Xenopus tropicalis: one gene and its partners. The protein of the gene in region 4 interacts with the protein of the main gene of each other region in a pairwise test. Links are inferred from orthologs where the notes say so. Each region holds a gene or a part of one and is shown on either strand. Other genes may lie near its edges.

The links.
Region 1: the proteins of kpna3 (region 4) and mat2b interact in binary tests that used the Homo sapiens proteins (3 or more experiments, as listed by UniProt). The two-hybrid records come from large-scale screens. The link is inferred for Xenopus tropicalis from reciprocal best matches to the Homo sapiens genes KPNA3 and MAT2B.
Region 2: the proteins of kpna3 (region 4) and htt interact in binary tests that used the Homo sapiens proteins (3 or more experiments, as listed by UniProt). The link is inferred for Xenopus tropicalis from reciprocal best matches to the Homo sapiens genes KPNA3 and HTT.
Region 3: the proteins of kpna3 (region 4) and tssc4 interact in binary tests that used the Homo sapiens proteins (3 or more experiments, as listed by UniProt). The two-hybrid records come from large-scale screens. The link is inferred for Xenopus tropicalis from reciprocal best matches to the Homo sapiens genes KPNA3 and TSSC4.
Region 5: the proteins of kpna3 (region 4) and ercc3 interact in binary tests that used the Homo sapiens proteins (3 or more experiments, as listed by UniProt). The link is inferred for Xenopus tropicalis from reciprocal best matches to the Homo sapiens genes KPNA3 and ERCC3.

Annotation. Positions count from the first base shown.
Region 1 is NC_030679.2:35,760,531-35,764,046, forward strand, and holds part of mat2b (methionine adenosyltransferase 2 subunit beta), read right to left. Parts: intron 2,131-3,516; coding exon 1,936-2,130; intron 1-1,935.
Region 2 is NC_030677.2:22,815,890-22,818,658, reverse strand, and holds part of htt (huntingtin), read right to left. Parts: intron 2,255-2,769; coding exon 2,094-2,254; intron 1,106-2,093; coding exon 892-1,105; 3' UTR 1-891.
Region 3 is NC_030680.2:22,340,702-22,344,987, reverse strand, and holds the start of tssc4 (protein TSSC4), read right to left. Parts: upstream 2,816-4,286; 5' UTR 2,643-2,815; exon of another isoform or gene 2,568-2,642; intron 2,545-2,567; exon of another isoform or gene 2,220-2,544; intron 1-2,219. UniProt on the Homo sapiens protein: Protein associated with the U5 snRNP, during its maturation and its post-splicing recycling and which is required for spliceosomal tri-snRNP complex assembly in the nucleus.
Region 4 is NC_030678.2:149,390,332-149,394,583, forward strand, and holds the start of kpna3 (importin subunit alpha-4), read right to left. Parts: upstream 2,817-4,252; 5' UTR 2,738-2,816; coding exon 2,669-2,737; intron 1-2,668. UniProt on the Homo sapiens protein: Functions in nuclear protein import as an adapter protein for nuclear receptor KPNB1. Binds specifically and directly to substrates containing either a simple or bipartite NLS motif.
Region 5 is NC_030685.2:86,618,841-86,622,962, forward strand, and holds the start of ercc3 (general transcription and DNA repair factor IIH helicase subunit XPB), read right to left. Parts: upstream 2,804-4,122; 5' UTR 2,728-2,803; coding exon 2,700-2,727; intron 691-2,699; coding exon 482-690; intron 1-481. UniProt on the Homo sapiens protein: ATP-dependent 3'-5' DNA helicase/translocase. Binds dsDNA rather than ssDNA, unzipping it in a translocase rather than classical helicase activity. Component of the general transcription and DNA repair factor IIH (TFIIH) core complex.

The DNA of each region.
Region 1 (3,516 bases), on a different chromosome or scaffold from region 4:
TGCAGTTATTGCTGCTAAGGGTGGCCCAACCAGTTATTAGGTTCAGGGGGCAATTACTTTTTCACACAGGGCCATGTAGGTTTGGATTTTTTTTCTCCCTAAATAATAAAAACCCTCATTTAAAAACTGCATTTTGTGTTTACTTGTGTTATCTTTGACTAATAGTTAAATGTGTTTGATGATCAGAAACATTTTGTGTGACAAACATGCAAAAGAATAAGAAATCAGGAAGGGGGCAAATAGTTTTTCACACCACTGTATATGCTCAGTTTTTTTGCAATGTACTGTTTCTCATTTAAGATGTTAAAAATGTTAGCAGGTAGAAATGATGAGACACCAGTTTGCATATTCCATCCTTATTCCCTGGGGATTTACAGTACTGACAAATGCATGGAAAAACTGCTTCCCTCCAGTGTGTGCAGAGTGGTGTCCAGGTGGAGACTCAGAACACAAATTTAATTAAAGGACATGTAAAGCCTACATTTGCCTACAATGTATATCAGTTGGGCACGTCTCCCCCACCCAAATGGCATCATTTGTACTGCATGTATCCCCTCTGTTTGCCAGCACCGTCACATTTTCCTAAAGCAAATAGCAGCTTTCACCCGGGGGCCATTTTTCCTCTGATACATAATCAGATACATTTAAATCTGCAAACAGCATACACACACACACACACAGACTCTTATTCAGCATACATTTCATCAAGAATACTGGCTCGCACAGGCAGAACTGTCTTTGATAAAAGTTCTGCTTTGTTTGAGCTGATCTCAGGAGAGGAGGTTAGGAGAATTAAAAATTGAAGCAGACAGCTAGAGCTGAGTTTCTATGGGAACCAGCAATGCCATCTCTTCACTGGCTGCTAGACTGGGGGGCATGTTTAGTAATCTGAGCTTAAAATAACTGAGCATGCCCACAAGCCAGAAGTCTAAGCAAATTCCTGAGGGAGGCGGCTGAGTGGGTTACAGGAGGCGAAGGAAATCTAAGTGATTAAGGAGATGCTGCAGCCTTACTATTAACCTCTGGACAACCAGTATGGCAGGTATTGAAAGATTTCAAAGAGGCTGTTCACTGATTCAGTTTTTGTGTGTGGGGTCACCATGTCCTTTAATCCTTATACTGACAGCTCGGCAGTCCACCGAGACCACAGGCAAACCAAACAGGTCCCTTATACCAGTATAACACTGCCATAATCCTTTGAACTTCTCAAAGCAGAAAATGAATGTGATGTGCAAAAGTGTTCAGAAAAGCATTCAGAGCTTACTTTGGTTTATCTTTTGACTTTACATTTCTTTTATGGTCAATACAACTGGACAATTTAAAAAACATAAATAAATAAATAAAGCAATGCCCAATCAATCATTATGTCTGAGGTTATCTTATCAAGTTCTGTACCAATTACCCCAATGTCGATTTTTCAGCATAATCACCCTAAATTTTCAAAGGCTGGGGTCACTTGAGCTACCCACATAGCGTCTTTTAATGAAGACTAAGATGCAGAATGCCATCTACTATCTGGAATGCTTGGGACCTTAAGTTTTCCATAAAGGGATCTTTCTGTAAGTTGGATCACATATCTTAAGCCTGATAGAAAATAATTTAAAGAATAAATAAACCCAATCGGATTGTACTGCCTTCAATATGGATTCATGCTGCTTAATTACCATCAACTACAAGGTACTGTTTTATTTTAACAGAAAGAGGGGTAATCGCTTTAAAAGAAAACTAGAATTATTCACTTAAAATCAAATCTGTGAGAGTTGACCATCCTTTAATTCTGAGCTTTCTGGATAATAGGTTTCAGGTAACTGATCCCATACCTGCACTGCTGAACATGAATATCAACACCATTTCAGAGAAACCACACTGGTCAAGGGACATTGCCTGTGAGAAGAGCAGGGCAGTAACTAATATAATATCTATCATTTAGCTTACCTTAAAGTCTTGGATGAGTGCTTTCACTGCTGCTGCATCTAATAGGTTGAGGTATTCAAATCTGGGCCGAGCACGACTGTACCCACAGCCCAGCACATGCCAACTGTTCTCCTTAAACTCTTTATATACAGCTCGACCAAGAAGTCCAGTTGCACCGGTTATCAGAGCCCTTCTACCAGGAATAGTAACATCATCCTAAAAAATATAAACACATGCTCAGTATCATCCTTAAAAACAAAAACATGCTCAGTAGATTCAGTTACCATGAAAGTCAATTATCCACATTTTTGAACCAGTTCCAACCTTTGTCTAATGTAACAATTTTTAACCAAAACGAAATTGCATTTTCAAGGCAGAAGTAGCTGCCGTGTTACATTGTAACATCACATGCTGTACAGTAGAAAACTGTTACCCAAGCCTTCCATTTAAAAAGCTGATTATTAATAATCAATATGTTTGTGTATTGGATCATTTCAAAGTTTGAGTCAGCAAAAAAACATACCTTTGGGGGACTGCAACTGGGCAACACAATCCCAGAACCATGCAGTGTAATTGGTAGGGTGTCAACTCTAACCTATATATTTTAGTTTGCTTAAAAACAGCTTTGCTCTAATTATCTAGTTTTGATATGGCTTTTGTGCAGAAACATGAAGATATGCAACCAGCTTAACAAGTTTAAATCAAAATATTTAACCAACATAAATGGCTTCATATTTTACTGAAACTTATATATATAGTAGTCTTTCTGCCTGAATTCTTCTAAACAAGGCAGCAAAATACACAACAGTTCCAGATTTACTGAACTTGTCAACCTAAATTACTGTTAGTTTTGTTTCCAATACAGCCTGCAGGTTACTTGACTCATAATCTCACTGGGTTTCAGGTTAACAGTTACTGAATTATAGAAAAAGATTTAAAATGACAAGTTATGTAATATGAGCTTTTGCAGGCTCCCAGGGGTTCTGGTGTGCTTGAACAAGTATTCAATGTACAGATGGAGCAGGATTTGTACCTAATTATGTGGCTCCAGCAACAGACACAGAGAGATATATATTGTATTTTTTACATCTAGCAGGACCTGATCAGTGTCCATGTGCGGCTAGAATTAAAAGGCGATAGAACCTGTGTCAATTATACCTGCTCAAACAAATGTTTAGAAGATCAATTTAAAGAGTTACTGACACCAGAAATTAAACCTTGTTTTACATCTAATGTAACATTGTCTTTACTTGCACTTTCTAAACATGCCTTAATGATTTTGCATGATGCTTTTACATTACCCTCCATGTTCCTTGAAGAGGGGGCTGCCATATTTGTGTTGCGGTAGTCTGTTAAGTGTCAGAAAGTCTGACAGGTTGAAAGGGTTGGCCAAACAGTCAGGTTTAGAAACTGTAAGTAACAATTACTTACAAAAGGCTATCAACATGACCTGTAGGAACGTATTAAAAAATATTAATACTGTTTTATCGCGTGTAGGTTCACCCCATAAACTGTTATTTTACCTGGATGTCCGAGCTGAGAAACAACATAAACAGCACTCACTCCAAAGGTTTATTTTGCTCAACATTTTGGTCCCTCACC
Region 2 (2,769 bases), on a different chromosome or scaffold from region 4:
GGCAGAGAAGGGTCACCTGACTTTCTCTGGTCAGATGGAAGCTGAATAACATCACAGGACTTTCCTGTTTTCAATAACTCAAATTTCAGCCGACAGAGTCCAATCTGCAGAAATGAACAGCAGGTGGCGCCGGAGCAATAAAACATGAATTTGTTCGGAGGGTTTCCATTAATAACAGCTAGAGGGATTCAGATTGGACATCCCTAATGTATATACTGAAAATATGTATTAGTTGGAATACGATAAATTTGTTTTACATCTTTTTGTCTTTTGGGGGTCCCTTTGCTACAGAAGTCCCAGGATAAATGTCGTTCCCTTGTATAATAATACTCAAATTATGAGGAATTGGAAGGTTAGTGCGGAGCTGGGTTTGCGCATGTCCCCGCCCACTGATGCTAAGGACAAAAAAAAAAACAACCTACAATGTTCCATCATTAGGCCACACCCACAAACACCCATAACCAGATCTCTCTCTCTATGCCATTCAAGTTGGAAGTGACAGATCTAACGCTCTACTGGGCGTCGTCACAAGATCTCTAGTAGACGCGACAGACGGATACAAAGGTCTCACAAAAGATGCCGAGTGAATCTACTGAATGGCTTGTTGGACTGAGTTGGTAGTTGTCCTTTATTTTTAGTGTGGCTTTGCGATGTTACAGACCCGCCCCTACCATAAATGTGCCAATGTGTGATATTTACGCTCACGTTAATAAAGCAAATTTATCATCAGAAGGTATTTACAAAAACATTCAGTGCAGAATGAGTGCCAAGTGCCCGGCTACAGAAGCTCCACTTCCATTTGGTGAGGGTCTTTTATTACCCAGAAGCCTCTGTGCCGGGGATATCAGGCCCATGCATGCGTTCTCAAGGGTGGATTCACTGCCGACCCAATCAGAACACAGTGATCTTATGCACGTTCTGTAAACACAAGAGCAGCCGGTAATAGGGGCTCCCGGGGGAGGCGACCAGCTCAAACACTGACTGGAAGGATCTCCGGTCCAGTTCTTCATCAATCTGATGTTTGTAGAAGTCTATGGCCACCAGGCAAAATAAATTCACATCTACCGGCTCCGACTTTCCCATTCTGCTAATGACGTGTGGGAGACTGAGGCGCTGGGTTAAGAGGAAAACCAGCAATGAAGCATTTCCTGTACAACAATACCACTGAGACTCCTGAATACTGCCTTATGGGACAGGAAATAACTGGAACAGGAAGTTGTGGGAGCAAAATCCCACCTCTGTCCATTTATTGGTTGATGCAACTTAGCATGTATGCGTGCCCTTCAGCACAGTGCCTCATATGAGCCATAGGGATACAAATGGCATTATTAATGGGCACATACTAGTAGAAAAATATATACTTTTTAATAGAGACCTGCAATGTTCAGGGTATAATTTCCCTTTTAACACTTAAACCCCCTATATGAAATAACAGGCACTAAGTTTGCCCAGGAGCAGTAACCCATAGCAACAAATAAGATGTTGCTTTTAAACAGGTGACCAGTAAATTCCACCTGCTGATTGGTTGCTATAGGTTACTGCTCCTGGGCAAACTTAGTGCCTGTTATTAAATATAGGGGGTTAAAGTGTTAAAAGGGAAATTATACCCTGAAAATTGCAGGTCTCTTGTATGGATCACCCTGTTGAGCCAATGACCAGCTGGGACTATTGCCCAGTCAGAACCTGGGTAGTGTCCAGAAAATGCCAGAACTTACCTTATGGAACTACAAACAAGTAAAAGCCCCATCCTTACAGCCACTAGGGGCGCTGTTACTGCATTTTCTGGTGAAAGCTACAACCACGTGAAGCTGTGATTAAATGCAAATAGGGCCCAATGGAGTGTGCAAAACTGTCAGTAAAAATATATGCTTGAAGGGGATGGCAGCCCTTTCTATGTTTGGTTAAGTGTAAAATAAAAATGACTTCAGAAGAGAGTTTCTCTCCCCTTTAGCGTATGTTTCCCTGCTCCGGCCGCACACAGCCTTTATGGAGCAGCCGGGCTCAGACAGGTTTCTAGCTGGGAGAGTGCGAGGGGAATGTAAACCAATGGGCGCTCTATGGCAGGGGGAGGCCGTAATAAATATAAAGGATACATGGCAGAAATCCACTTGCTGGTGGAAGCACTGACAAAAAAGCAGGAAAGGCTCCACATGGCCATGGCAACGGGGGTTCTCTGGGTGAAGTTGGAGAGAGACAGCATGACCCAATCACGCACCATAGACGACTGCCCGGTGGCATGCAATGTCTGAAACACCTGGACACACACAGGGAGAGAAGATTCAGCCCAACAGTAACAGGACACTGAAGGCAGGCAGCAAAGGGAACATCGTTACCCAATCCCCCCCAACTACAGAGTCAAACAGCCCCCCAGCAGCCCAATAAATAGTGACTGCCTATGGCATCTGACAGCAGCCCCTCTGGCATTTGCCTGAACCCACAGAATTCCCAACTCTTAATCAAACAACTGCCTGGTTGCTAGGGTAAATTACACCCTAGCAACCAGATAGCTGCTGAACACAGAGCTAAGTACCTGAAAATCATTAAAAATGAAGACCAATTGCAAATTGTCTTAGAATGTCAATGTCTACATCATACTAAAAGTCAATTTAAAGGTGAACTACCCCTTAAAAGTTAACTTTTAGTATGTTTTAAAATGGTTAATCCTAATCAACTTTTGAATTGGTCCTCATCACTTATTTTGCACAGTTTTTTCATTATTTGCCTTCCTCTTCTCTCTTTTTCCAGCTTTCAAATGGGGGTCACTGACCC
Region 3 (4,286 bases), on a different chromosome or scaffold from region 4:
CATGAACCTTCAATGTTCATTTTAACTGGTGTTCAAGTTCTAACAAAAGCCTCTGCTTGGAATAAAAGCCTGCGGTAGCTAGGATTTCATTATATCCACTGAAACAGACATATATCCCACATAACCAGTCCTCACTCACATCAAGTGTCAGCAAGTTGTCTCCTGTCAACTACGTGCCAACCCTAGCAAGGTCTGCCAGTAAGTTTTACATGAAGAGCCTAACATTAGCTACACGGCCATTTCTTCCAAATAAACGGCCCTCACATCGAGTCCCAACATGTCCGAAATTCATAACATCATCATCATATTTTACATTACATGCAGACTAATATAGAAGCTACCATGGAAGAATTTTTTACTTTGGCAAATCTCTGCCATCCCGAAGCAGCACCAGAGCCACTAGAAGTTGGCACTAGGGGTGTCCACCCATTTTCATACCTTAGAATCTATAAAGGTAAATTCATAGGCACCAATAAATGATTAATAGTTGCAAGGGTGCCTATTAATATGTCCCACATAGCACCTCCCTTGCTAACTGCCAAGTAGATTCTCCTGACAAAAACCACATTCATTTATACCAATTCAATTAAATGGCCACCTCTTTGCAATGGCAGGCAGGCCTGAAACCCCAGCCAGGCAGTATACAGAGGGTGAACTGTAGGCCTACAGACACATAGATGTCCCATAACAGGCAAATGAGTAACTATTTTAGAATTTAAAGAACACCTTAATTTGATCACTAAAAAGGTGTAATGGAATGTTATGGTGTAAAACACTAAAGCGAGGAGTCACTTAACGAACACAAAATATAAATTCATGCCACTGACTGTATTTATAAGAGAGTAAATCATGGGAACATGCCAGCCTACCCAGCAATGCTACTGCATTCATACCTCCCAACATTTGAAAAGCAGAAGGAGGGACAGAAATGTCTGGCGCGCAAGCCAACATTTTTAGGCCACGCCCACTTTATGGCCACGCCCCCCCCAAACAGGCCCATTTTACAAAACCACACCTGAAAAGCATAACATACACAAAGTGCACCAGAAGACAGACACGGTGGCCCCAATCATTTTATGACATATTGTGGCCCTAAGGATTTCATTATGCACTGTGGCACCTGTATTTAATGACAAACTCATGACCAGACATTGGTAGCCAGGTGTTATGTTTTGCATTGGCGCTAGAGCAGGGACCCCCTAAAACATTGCTGGTCCTCCCGCAGTGTCCCCCTACTACGGGCTGCTCCCCACTGCAGCATCCTCCCCAACATCCTTCAGCTGCCCCCAGCATCCACCCAACATCCTTCAGCTCCTCCCAGCGTCCTACCCAACATCCTTCAGCTCCCCCCAAAATCCTTCAGCTCCCCCCAAAATCCTCCAGCTCCCCCCAACATCCTCCACAATATCCTTCAGCTCCCCCAACATCCTCCAGCTCCCCCCAGCATCCTCCAGCTGCCTCCCAGGGTCCTCCAGCTGCCCCTAACCTTCCTCCAGTGTCCTCCCCAGCGTCAACCTGCTTTCTGTGGCACCCCCTGCTCCTACCACCACCAGCTTCCTCCGGCTGTGCCCCAGGGCTCTTCTTCTCCTCCTCGTGACGTCACATGCACGTCTCTTGAGTGCCGCAGCTGCTGCACTGTGAATGGCTTTATGTTAAAACTGAAGTGAGCGGCGCAGAAGCTGTGGCGCTAAGGGGAGACGTGCGTGTGGCGTCACGGGAGCAGAGACCTTTAAAAGTGGGACAGATCTGCAGCTATCCGGGACAGCGGGACAGGGTGGCAAAATCGGGACTGTCCCGCATAAAGCGGGACAGTTGGGAGGTATGACTGCATTTTCCAATATGAAAGAGAAATTCAGACAATGTATAAATAATGAAGGAATCACCATTCCCAAGAGTTAGGACTAGCAGTGCAGTCAGAGACAGGGCACATCAACATTAATAGAAAGATCTCTAATAATAAGAAATGCAATTCCATCATCCAATCACACGTCTGAATGTATTCTAAGGACAGTCATTGGGTGCTTCTAATTCCCCGCCCCCTTGATATTCCCGCCACCCAAGTGAGGTGCAGAACTGTACAACATGTCATTTCCATTACTGAGCCCAGCAGGGATGCTCCTTCTAGTGTAAAATCCCTTCCCTATGCCTTTCTTGGCATCTCTAACCAAACAGGAGAATATTCCATTGCATATGGCCGAATTGTGGGACCCAGTCTGTACCTTATATTTTCCTGCTTACTACATCAATGTCCAACTCACTACCCTCAAGTTGAGATTTATTTATAACTCCCACCCCTATTGGGGTGATACCGGAAGTCACAGTGGAACCCCAGAATGAAGGCAGCACCGATAGATACACTCAAAATATTTAACAAACGTTGCACATTATATGTCCTTCCCAGCCAGCCAGGCAAGGTGCGGGCTCATGAAGCTATGCCTGAAGCACAAATGCGGGACGGTATTAATGGATGCGCGTCCCAGAACACTTCCGGTATGGCGGTACCAAGGAAGGAGCGCAGGGATATCCCTAATCGGATCGCTACATCCACAGGGCCGCTGCCGCCTTACACTGCATCATGTGACTGTCTCCCTGGGCCTAACGCTATAGTCACCATTCTCCCATTCACACTAGCGGGGCCTCACAGGTTGGCAGCGCTGCTCTCTATCGCTCTCAGCTCAGCTATAATGGTTTCTCTCTTCTCCGCCTCCTCCATACCGCAAACTAACAAGCCATAAGGTTTTCCCGGGCTTCAATCTGCCTCCTCCCAGCATGCACCTCGCTAATACGCGGAAGTGCTAAACAACAATGAGTGTGCGAGGTTGGGGGCGGCGCTTCAGAACGCCCTCTAGTGGGGTGTTCTTCCAACTGCATGTGTGTGTTGCAAACGAGGCTAAAGGCGCGAATGGGGAAAGTTGTATTTGTGTAATTGGAAAATAAAGAAATTTCTATGAAAGTTTATGTACTTTTTTCCCCTCTCAAATTGGCATTTAGCAGTGCTTTTACATGATCTCTGCTTAATGGTTGCACCTAGAATAACCCATTCCATAGGGATCCCAGGTTACTATATAAGCAGGCAATACAGTGTCTATGGGGATATTTATGATTTACTACATTGCCCCAAATGACATCTCAGCAAACATGTAGCCTGCATCATAGCCATGGGCAGAGAATTGCAATTGTGTTTCCAATTACTATAGGAAGGGCTGCCATCAGTGGGGTAAAGGGGTGCTGCAATCAGAGGCCCTGTGGCAGAGGGGGCTCCAGAAGAAGGATTCACTGGTCATTAAAGGGCAGGGGGAGTGGGTAGGGTTTAGGTGGATTGTGGGCAAGATTTTACTCTAATGGGATGTGACTGGGGTTGATCAGGGCCTTGGTTATGCATGTGCTGCCCATTATTCTTATTTTTCCATTGGTGACTTGTTGGCGGGGCCCACAGTCTAGGTCCCTAAGTGCCCAGTAGGTAAATAATTGTGTGCCGCCTGGGTGGGTACTAGTGCCTTGTGATTTGTAATGGTATCCATGACTTCTGGGTATTGTGTAAGAAAAGAAGCTGAGAACCAAGTTGATTATAAAGGGGGCCATACACTGTAAGATCCGCTTGTTGGCAAGGTCTAAAGGACAAATATCGGCAACTGAAATTGGCCTGTGTATGAGGCCTGTGAAGCAGTTGAATAATCTTGTCCAATACAGTGAAGCCAGGGGTGTATCTTGGGATCTCTGGACACCCCCATACCACCCATGGACCATAGGGGCTGTGAATGGGGAATGTGGGCTGCTTTTTACTGGGTCCCCTGTCTCTTTGGGTCCCTCTTTGGCCATGGCGAAAGCTGAGTCTCCTCTCCATAAAGTTAAGTTACTAAGGTTACTAAGGTAACCTATGCCACTATCATCACCACTTGCCCAGGCTTTCTGCCCTTCTTCTTTGGCACCTGTGAAGCAGTTGAATAATCTTGTCCAATACAGTGAAGCCAGGGGTGTACCTTGGGATCTCTGGACACCCCCATACCACCCATGGGCCATAGGGGCTGTGAATGGGGAATGTCAGCTGCTTTTTACTGGGTCCCCTGTCTCTTTGGGTCCCTCTTTGGCCATGGGGAAAGCTGAGTCTCCTCTCCATAAAGTTAGGTTACTAAGGTAACCTATGCCACTATCATCACCACTTGCCCAGGCTTTCTGCCCTTCTTCTTTGGCACTGGAAAGGTTGCCCAGCAGCCAGCTAAATGCAACAAGGGGTCCACTGGCCACTTTTATCTGTTTGACACCCCTGATAGCACCGAGGGCAGTTT
Region 4 (4,252 bases):
ATTACAATTTTACATTATGCAGTCATTAGTATTCTTGAAGAAATCGCAATTACCTTTTTTTCACTTTTATAATTATTTTTGCTCGTTTGGCAAATCTCGGAATTGTAATTTAAACTGCTATCTGCTGGAAAGATGCAAAGTCCAAATGGACATTGGAAAACATAATGTTCTGTCTGGTTTTAGTGAATACAAAAAGCAGTATTTTCACTTGGAGGCTGGAAAGAGGTGAAATAGGAAAGCTGATCACCGGAAGAAAAAAAATTACAAATGAGGACCTTGCCAAAGAAGACCAAAATATCATGCTAGAACCTTGGTAGGTAAGCATAGGTGTGCCAATGTTGACTACACGCCTTCCCTGCCCACTCTGGTGATATCAAAGATGGCAGGTCTGGCAGATGTATATAAATAATGATGGTGTAGCTGGTCATTTAGGGTTCAGACCTTGATAGCTTTCTGTGCTAGGAATAACCTGTAAGAAAACAAAAAACCTTAAAGGACATGGAAAGGCAAAGTCACTTGGGGGTGCCAAAATGTTAGGCACCCCCAAGTGACTTTAATCGCTTACCTTTTACCCCGGACTGGTGCCCCTGTTGGGATAGAACAGCACCAGCCCGGGGTAGCTGCCAGCACTTCCACCTTCCTGTCTCACCTCGCACGCATGCACAGTAGAGTGAATAGTGGAACTTTAACAGAGAAGTCGGCTTTTCACTTTACTGCGCATGCGCCTACCGCATAGTCACAGCTTAACGAAGCAGGAAGGAGGATGCGCATCGCCCCTGGTACCCCGGGCTGGTGCCGTTTTCTCCTAACAGGGGCACCAGCCCGGGGTACAAGGTAAGCGATTAAAGTCACTTGGGGGTACCTAACATTTTGGCACCCCCAAGTGACTTTGCCTTTCCTTGTCCTTTAAAGAAGGTTAGCGATTTCCTCTGTACTTAGTGACTTGTCCCATGACTCAGTGAATTTGTAAATTAAGAAATATCTTAGTATCAAAGTTGTTTCACACAGCACTGCCGTTAAGTGTTTTAGCCTTAGTATATTCTCTCAAGCCCATCCACTGGAGATTCCTGTACTACAGACTCATTGATTTTTTGTGCGTCAATAATCAGCCGTGGGTAACTGTAGTTACTAGTCTGTTATAGTAACCATCTTGGCAAAACATTGCAATTACATTATTGAGGCAGCACAGCTCACCACCTGATATGTTATTATTCTAAACAGAAATGACAAATGAATGCATAGCAGGACCCTTGACAAGGCACTACAGAAGCCTAGGCACAGGATTAAATGAGAACGTGATGAGCAAAGTGCCACAGTTCAGGTTCCCATTTGAGGTTCAGTGTCTCCTTTAGAACATAAGTTTCCAAACACATTGCTAAATGAACCATGCAATAATAGTTCCAAGAACCACTAGGACATCAAAGAACCGTTCATCCCAAATATTACTCCAAGTGACCTCCAAGATAAGTTTTTAAGAGACCAATAGGTATTCGCCCCAAATCAATCCCCATAGTGGTCTTTAGGCTGGGCCCCCTTCCATGGCTGTGTGGGGTCAATTTGGGAAGCTACCATAAGCCTACAAGTGACTGTTTAATTCCTGAGCCGTTACAATGTGTCATATTCTGCAAAGAGCTGTGCAGGTGTGAAATGAAGAAACATGGAGATAGGGTAACAATATGGAATGCATAAAATGGGAGGGGGTAATGAAAATATATCTGCACATGAAGTAATAGAGGAAAACAGGCATAACAGATGGGAAAAGCTGGTAAAGAAAGCAAATAAAACCTCAGGAAAAAAAGGTGCAGTTTGCTTAATTTCTGTTGCACGGAGCAGCAGTGGGTGCTCTGGTACCTGCATTTTCTCTTATTACAATAATGGCAGATAATGGACTGTGTAATAGCAATCTAATACTACAACATGCTTAAGCTTTGTTTGAACCCATGGAAATAAGCCATATAAATACAGTCTGATGGATAGTAAGCAAGCCAAGCACAGACTGGCAAATTGGCTGCAATAAGCTGCCATAGGTGAGAGATTTATATTGGGCCTGTGTATAGGATTTAGATCTCAGGCAGATATGATATTAAGTCATACAGTGAGATGGCCAACTGCAAATATTCCCAGCACTGCACCATGCACAGCGGCTCATAGCACCTTATACAAATGGGATACTCCCTGCGATCATGTGGCACCAAGATGTGGCACCAAGATGTAAGTGTAAGCCCTGTAACCTTCATAGCTGGGGAAGAGGCTGCCATGCCAGGTGGGTCACTACATCCCCCCCACCCATAGTGCTATCCATCTATGGAAAATGCCACTTCCGGGAAGAATGTGGATCCCCACTGGGGGCTACAGTGCAGGGCTATGGGAATGCCTGTAGAACACACTTCTAGTGCCTACATCTCCCACAATGCCCCACAAGCCGCTGACACAAGGCTGAGGCATGGCAGTGCCCGGGCAGGTGTCAGTGACGGCACATCCATGGGCAGGCCTCAATGCGAGAGCCTCTCAGCCCAAGCTCCCCGGCCCCTATGGTGCCCCGGATACTCCATCCCCGGCTGTGACAGAGCAGGCCCGGCCACTTTATGAAGACAGTGCCGGCTTTTTCAGGGAGAGGTCAGGGCCTGAGCCCTAGCAAGGCCTCCCATCGACTCACTGCGTTACTCACCTCCACATCTCGCCCCTTGTTCTTAAAGCTTTTGATACGGTGGTTCTCTAGGCCGGCGTTGTCCGCCATGGCGGCTGCTTCTTATGTGTCTTCCCCCTGCCCGTTTACCGGCTGCGACACCAACACTTCCAAGGCCGCGCCACAGCCGCACTCCTCCGCCCTGCGCGCACTCGCACTCACACAGAGGGACGGAGCTGGGGAAAGGCTGGGGGCGGGGCGTGCGCGCTCACACGGGATCGGGGCGGTCTGTGGGCGGGGCGTGCGCGCTCACACGGGATCGGGGCGGTCTGTGGGCGGGGCGTGCGCGCTCGCGTTGAGAGTACGGGGGCGTGAGCATGCCTGTGGAAGTATGCTTCTTACGTGTGCGCTATAAGTCTAATGACGCTTGAGCTGACGTTAGGGAGTCGTGCTGATGCTGCGGCTTTCCGTAACCGCAAGGAATGTCTGACAGCCAAAAGCCTATCGGGATACGCTAATCGTTCACGCCAATGCTTCTGCGAATAAGTGAAAGCTATCCAGAGAATGGGCTGTGAGAGTTGCAGTACGACAACATCAGGAGAAGCGGCATTTTTGCCTCTCGCTTAGTGCGCAATAAAGTCAGGAAAGCTAAAAAGCGGCCACTTGTTCTTTTTTTTCTCTCCCCTGACGTAGGATGTCACATGGCCGCAAAGGAACGCTCTAGTGTTGAGTCAGTGGCTCATTGCTCCTCCCTTTCTATCTAATGCGGGGGTTATAGGCTCCGCCCTTTCGGGCAACCCCTGGGAGCACCATAGGTGGGTGGTGTTATGTGCGAGCTAGGGATCCGCCTCAAGTCTTTCTTAAAGGGACACTGTCATGATTTGTATGGTGTACTTTTTATTTCTCTCTGCCATTTAAAATATTATTCTTGAACCAACAAATGTATTTTTAGCTGTAGTATTGGTGTGTAGGCGCCATCTCAGTGCGTTGTGCCTGAGTCTGAGCTTTCAGAAGGAGCCAGCGCTACACATTAGAACTGCTTTCAGCTAACCTATTGTTTCTCCTACTCCCATGTAACTGGGAGTCCCAAGCCGGACTTTTCCGGACTATTCTAATACCTACTGGGAGCTGCTATCTTGCTCCCTTCCCATTGTTCTGCTGATCGGCTGCTGGGAGGGGGGTGATATCACTCCAACTTGCAGCTCAGCAGTAAAGTGTGACTGATGTTTATCAGAGCGCAGGTCACATGGCTGTGGCACCCTGGGAAATGAAGAATATGGCTAGCCCATGAGAAATTTCAAAATGAAATATTAAAAATCAGTTTGCTTTTTTGAAAAACAGATTACAATGCAGGATTCTGCTGGAGAAGCTCTATTAACTGATGTGTTTTGAAATAAACATGTTTTACCATGACAGTATTCCTTTAAAGAGTTAATCCCAAGCTGCAGGCATACCTTCAGTTGTCTCAATAGTGCCCTTAAGTCTCCCCATATTTCTCCTGTTCAGATCAGAAGCCAAACAGGAAGAAAAAACGCTGAGCTGTGTAAAGAAAGTTCCCATAATGCCTCACTCCTGCACAGACACCCAGACCAAGTGTACATGCTCAGTTAATAAGACTATGAGTCA
Region 5 (4,122 bases), on a different chromosome or scaffold from region 4:
ATTTGGGCTGAACCCCGCGCCAACTAATGGTACAGCTTTCCCTTTAGCCCAACCACCCCCGAGTCAGGAGAGTTCACAGATATTTTAGATTAAATTAAATCCAATGTTTTTCCATCAGCGACTGATTTACTTCTACATTTTTCCGGCTTTCAAGTGACCCGACAGCCGAAAACTATTGCCCTGAAGTTTACAATTGTATTAATATTGTAACTTTATACTTTTTTCTTTAATCCGGGCCCTCTCCTCTTCATATTCCAGTCTTTCATTTAAACCACCGCCTGGTTGCTAGGGTAAACAAGACCCTAGCAACAAGGTAGCAGCTGAAATGCCAAACTGGAGAGCTACTTAACGACAAAAAATAAAAACCAATAAAAAATTGGCTCAGATTAATGTCTACGTCATATTAACTCAGTTAATTCAAAGGTAAACAAGCCCTTTAATGGAATCCGCTAGCCGCCTCAGAGTAACATATGGAACGTACCACCCACAGGGGGCGAGAGGAATGATCCATTTTCAGAGGCATCTGCAGGCGATAGTCTTTGGCTCCGTACTCATCCTGCTTTGTGCCGGCTTCGTCCACTTGCTTTCCCGCGGCAGAAGGAACGGCTTCCTGGTATTCGCCCCCGGGCACCTCCTCTTCCTCTTCATCCTCTTCCTCATAGTGACGCCGCTTGAACTTCTTTTTGTCTCCTGGGAGGGAAATCAGAGTAGGTCAGTGGCGCCTATTGGGGGTATTATCCTGCTGCGCCTATTGGGGGTATAACCCTGAGGCGCCTATTGGGGGTATAACCCTGAGGTACCTATTGGGGGGTATAACCCTGAGGCACCTATTGGGGGGTATAACCCTGAGGCACCTATTGGGGGTATAACCCTGAGGCACCTATTGGGGGTATAACCCTGAGGTACCTATTGGGGGGTATAACCCTGAGGCGCCTATTGGGGGTATAACCCTGAGGTACCTATTGGGGGTATAACCCTGAGGTACCTATTGGGGGGTATAACCCTGAGGTACCTATTGGGGGGTATAACCCTGAGGCGCCTATTGGGGGTATAACCCTGAGGTACCTATTGGGGGTATAACCCTGAGGCACCTATTGGGGGTATAACCCTGAGGTACCTATTGGGGGTATAACCCTGAGGCGCCTATTGGGGGTATAACCCTGAGGTACCTATTGGGGGTATAACCCTGAGGCACCTATTGGGGGTATAACCCTGAGGTACCTATTGGGGGGTATAACCCTGAGGCGCCTATTGGGGGTATAACCCTGAGGTACCTATTGGGGGTATAACCCTGAGGCACCTATTGGGGGGTATAACCCTGAGGCACCTATTGGGGGTATAACCCTGAGGCACCTATTGGGGGTATAACCCTGAGGTACCTATTGGGGGGTATAACCCTGAGGCGCCTATTGGGGGTATAACCCTGAGGTACCTATTGGGGGTATAACCCTGAGGTACCTATTGGGGGGTATAACCCTGAGGCGCCTATTGGGGGTATAACCCTGAGGCACCTATTGGGGGTATAACCCTGAGGCACCTATTGGGGGTATAACCCTGAGGCACCTATTGGGGGTATAACCCTGAGGGGCCCTATTGGGGGGTATAACCCTGAGGTCACCTATTGGGGGTATAACCCTGAGGCACCTATTGGGGGTATAACCCTGAGGCACCTATTGGGGGTATAACCCTGAGGCACCTATTGGGGGTATAACCCTGAGGCACCTATTGGGGGTATAACCCTGAGGCACCTATTGGGGGTATAACCCTGAGGCACCTATTGGGGGTATAACCCTGAGGCACCTATTGGGGGGTATAACCCTGAGGCACCTATTGGGGGTATAACCCTGAGGCACCTATTGGGGGGTATAACCCTGAGGCACCTATTGGGGGTATAACCCTGAGGCCAATTGGGGGTATAACCCTGAGGCACCTATTGGGGGTATAACCCTGAGGCACCTATTGGGGGTATAACCCCTGAGGCGCCTATTGGGGGTATAACCCTGAGGCAGCCTATTGGGGGGTATAACCCTGAGGTACCTATTGGGGGTATAACCCTGAGGCACCTATTGGGGGTATAACCCTGAGGCACCTATTGGGGTATAACCCTGAGGCCTATTGGGGTATAACCCTGAGGTACTATTGGGGGTATAACCCTGAGGCACCTATTGGGGGTATAACCCTGAGGTACCTATTGGGGGTATAACCCTGAGGCACCTATTGGGGGTATAACCCTGAGGTACCTATTGGGGGTATAACCCTGAGGCACCTATTGGGGGTATAACCCTGAGGCACCTATTGGGGTATAACCCTGAGGCACCTATTGGGGGGTAATAACCCTGAGGTACCTATTGGGGGTATAACCCTGAGGCACCTATTGGGGGGTATAACCCTGAGGCACCTATTGGGGGGTATAACCCTGAGGCACCTATTGGGGGGTATAACCCTGAGGCACCTATTGGGGGTATAACCCTGAGGCACCTATTGGGGGTATAACCCTGAGGCACCTATTGGGGGTATAACCCTGAGGTACCTATTGGGGGTATAACCCTGAGGCACCTATTGGGGGTATAACCCAAGGCAAATGCACGGAATTACGTGAAACTCCCAGAAGGCCCCTGCGTTATTAACCCCCTCCCTCCCCTGAGTTTAGCGCTACCACACGGCACAAAGCCCCACAGACTATGGGACACTGTCCCTACCTCTGTCCGCCTTATCCCTCTTGCCCATCGCAGGTTCCCTGGCAGCAACACCTTCCGGCTGCTTCTTCTGCTGCTTCTTCCCCACTTCCGGTGCGCACTACGGAAACCGGCAAGAGACATTTGCTACTTGTTGCTCTGGAAAATCTCAATGCTGCCACCTGGCGGCCCCTTTGTGTAAAGCACCCACTATAGAAATCGCTAGGATCGTTCTCGCTGGGGAAAAAACCCACAGAGATGATGGGCAGGGGGGAGAAAAGGGCGGGGGAGTCATGACAGAATCTCAATTGGAGGGATTGTTCACCTTTGAGTTAACGTTTAGTATAACATAGAGAGTAATATCCTGAGACAATTTGCAATTGGTCTTCATTTTTTTGTATTATTCCTGGTTTTGTAAATATTTCCCTTTTTGTGCAGCAGCTCTCCAGTTTCAGCAGTTATCTGGTTGCTAGGGTCTAAATTACCCGAGCGACCAGGAATTGGTTCGAATGAGAGACTGATATGTTTGTAGGAGAGGGACCTAAACAGAAAGAAAAGTAATAACAATAACAATAACAATAAAACTGGAGCCTCACAGAGCAATAGGGTTTGGCTGCCGGGGTCAGTGACCCCCATTTGACAATTAAAGGGGAAAAGAGTCAGAAGAAAGCGGCAGATATTAAAAACTATAACAAATAAATAATGAAGACCAATTGAAAAGTTTCTTAGAATAGGCCATTCTATAACATACTAAAGGTTCACTGAAAGGTGTGGGAATAATAGACATGGAAATAGCTCCTGCCAGGGCCGGACAGGGGCTGCTGGGACACCGGGAAAATACCCTGTGGGCCCCTGGACATGGTGGGCCCCCGGACATGGTGGGCCCCATCGGCCCAGACCCGACCCTGTTGCAGCTTCCCCTGGCCGTTGGTGTCCCCCCCTGATGGGTTTCACATACGCAAGCTCGGGGGAGGACGTCGGGCGGGGGGCCCTGTGAGGGGATAGGGGTGTGCGGTGGGGGCCCCAGCAGGGGACGCAGCCAGAAGAGGCCCCTTGTGGGGTGCGGGCCCCCCGGGGGGTAGCCTCGGTGGGCCCTGCACCCCCCAGTCCAACCCTGGCTCCTGCTACTACTACTATGACTATAATGTATGTCCCCTAATTACAAATACATGGGGGACAGAGGCTACGGAAGAGCCCAGAACACACTGCAGCGAATGGACTAACAAAATCAGAAACTGGCTCGCTGCTGGGTCATCACAGTTCTAGGACTCATGAACCTACCTCTATACCAGGGATCCCCAACCTTTCTTACTCGGGAACCACAGTCAAAGTAAAAAGACTTGGAGAGCAACACAAGCACCATAAATGTTCATGGAGGAGCCAAATAAGGGCTGTGATTGGCTATTAGGGGCCTCTATGCACCCTATCAGCTTACAGGGGAATCTTG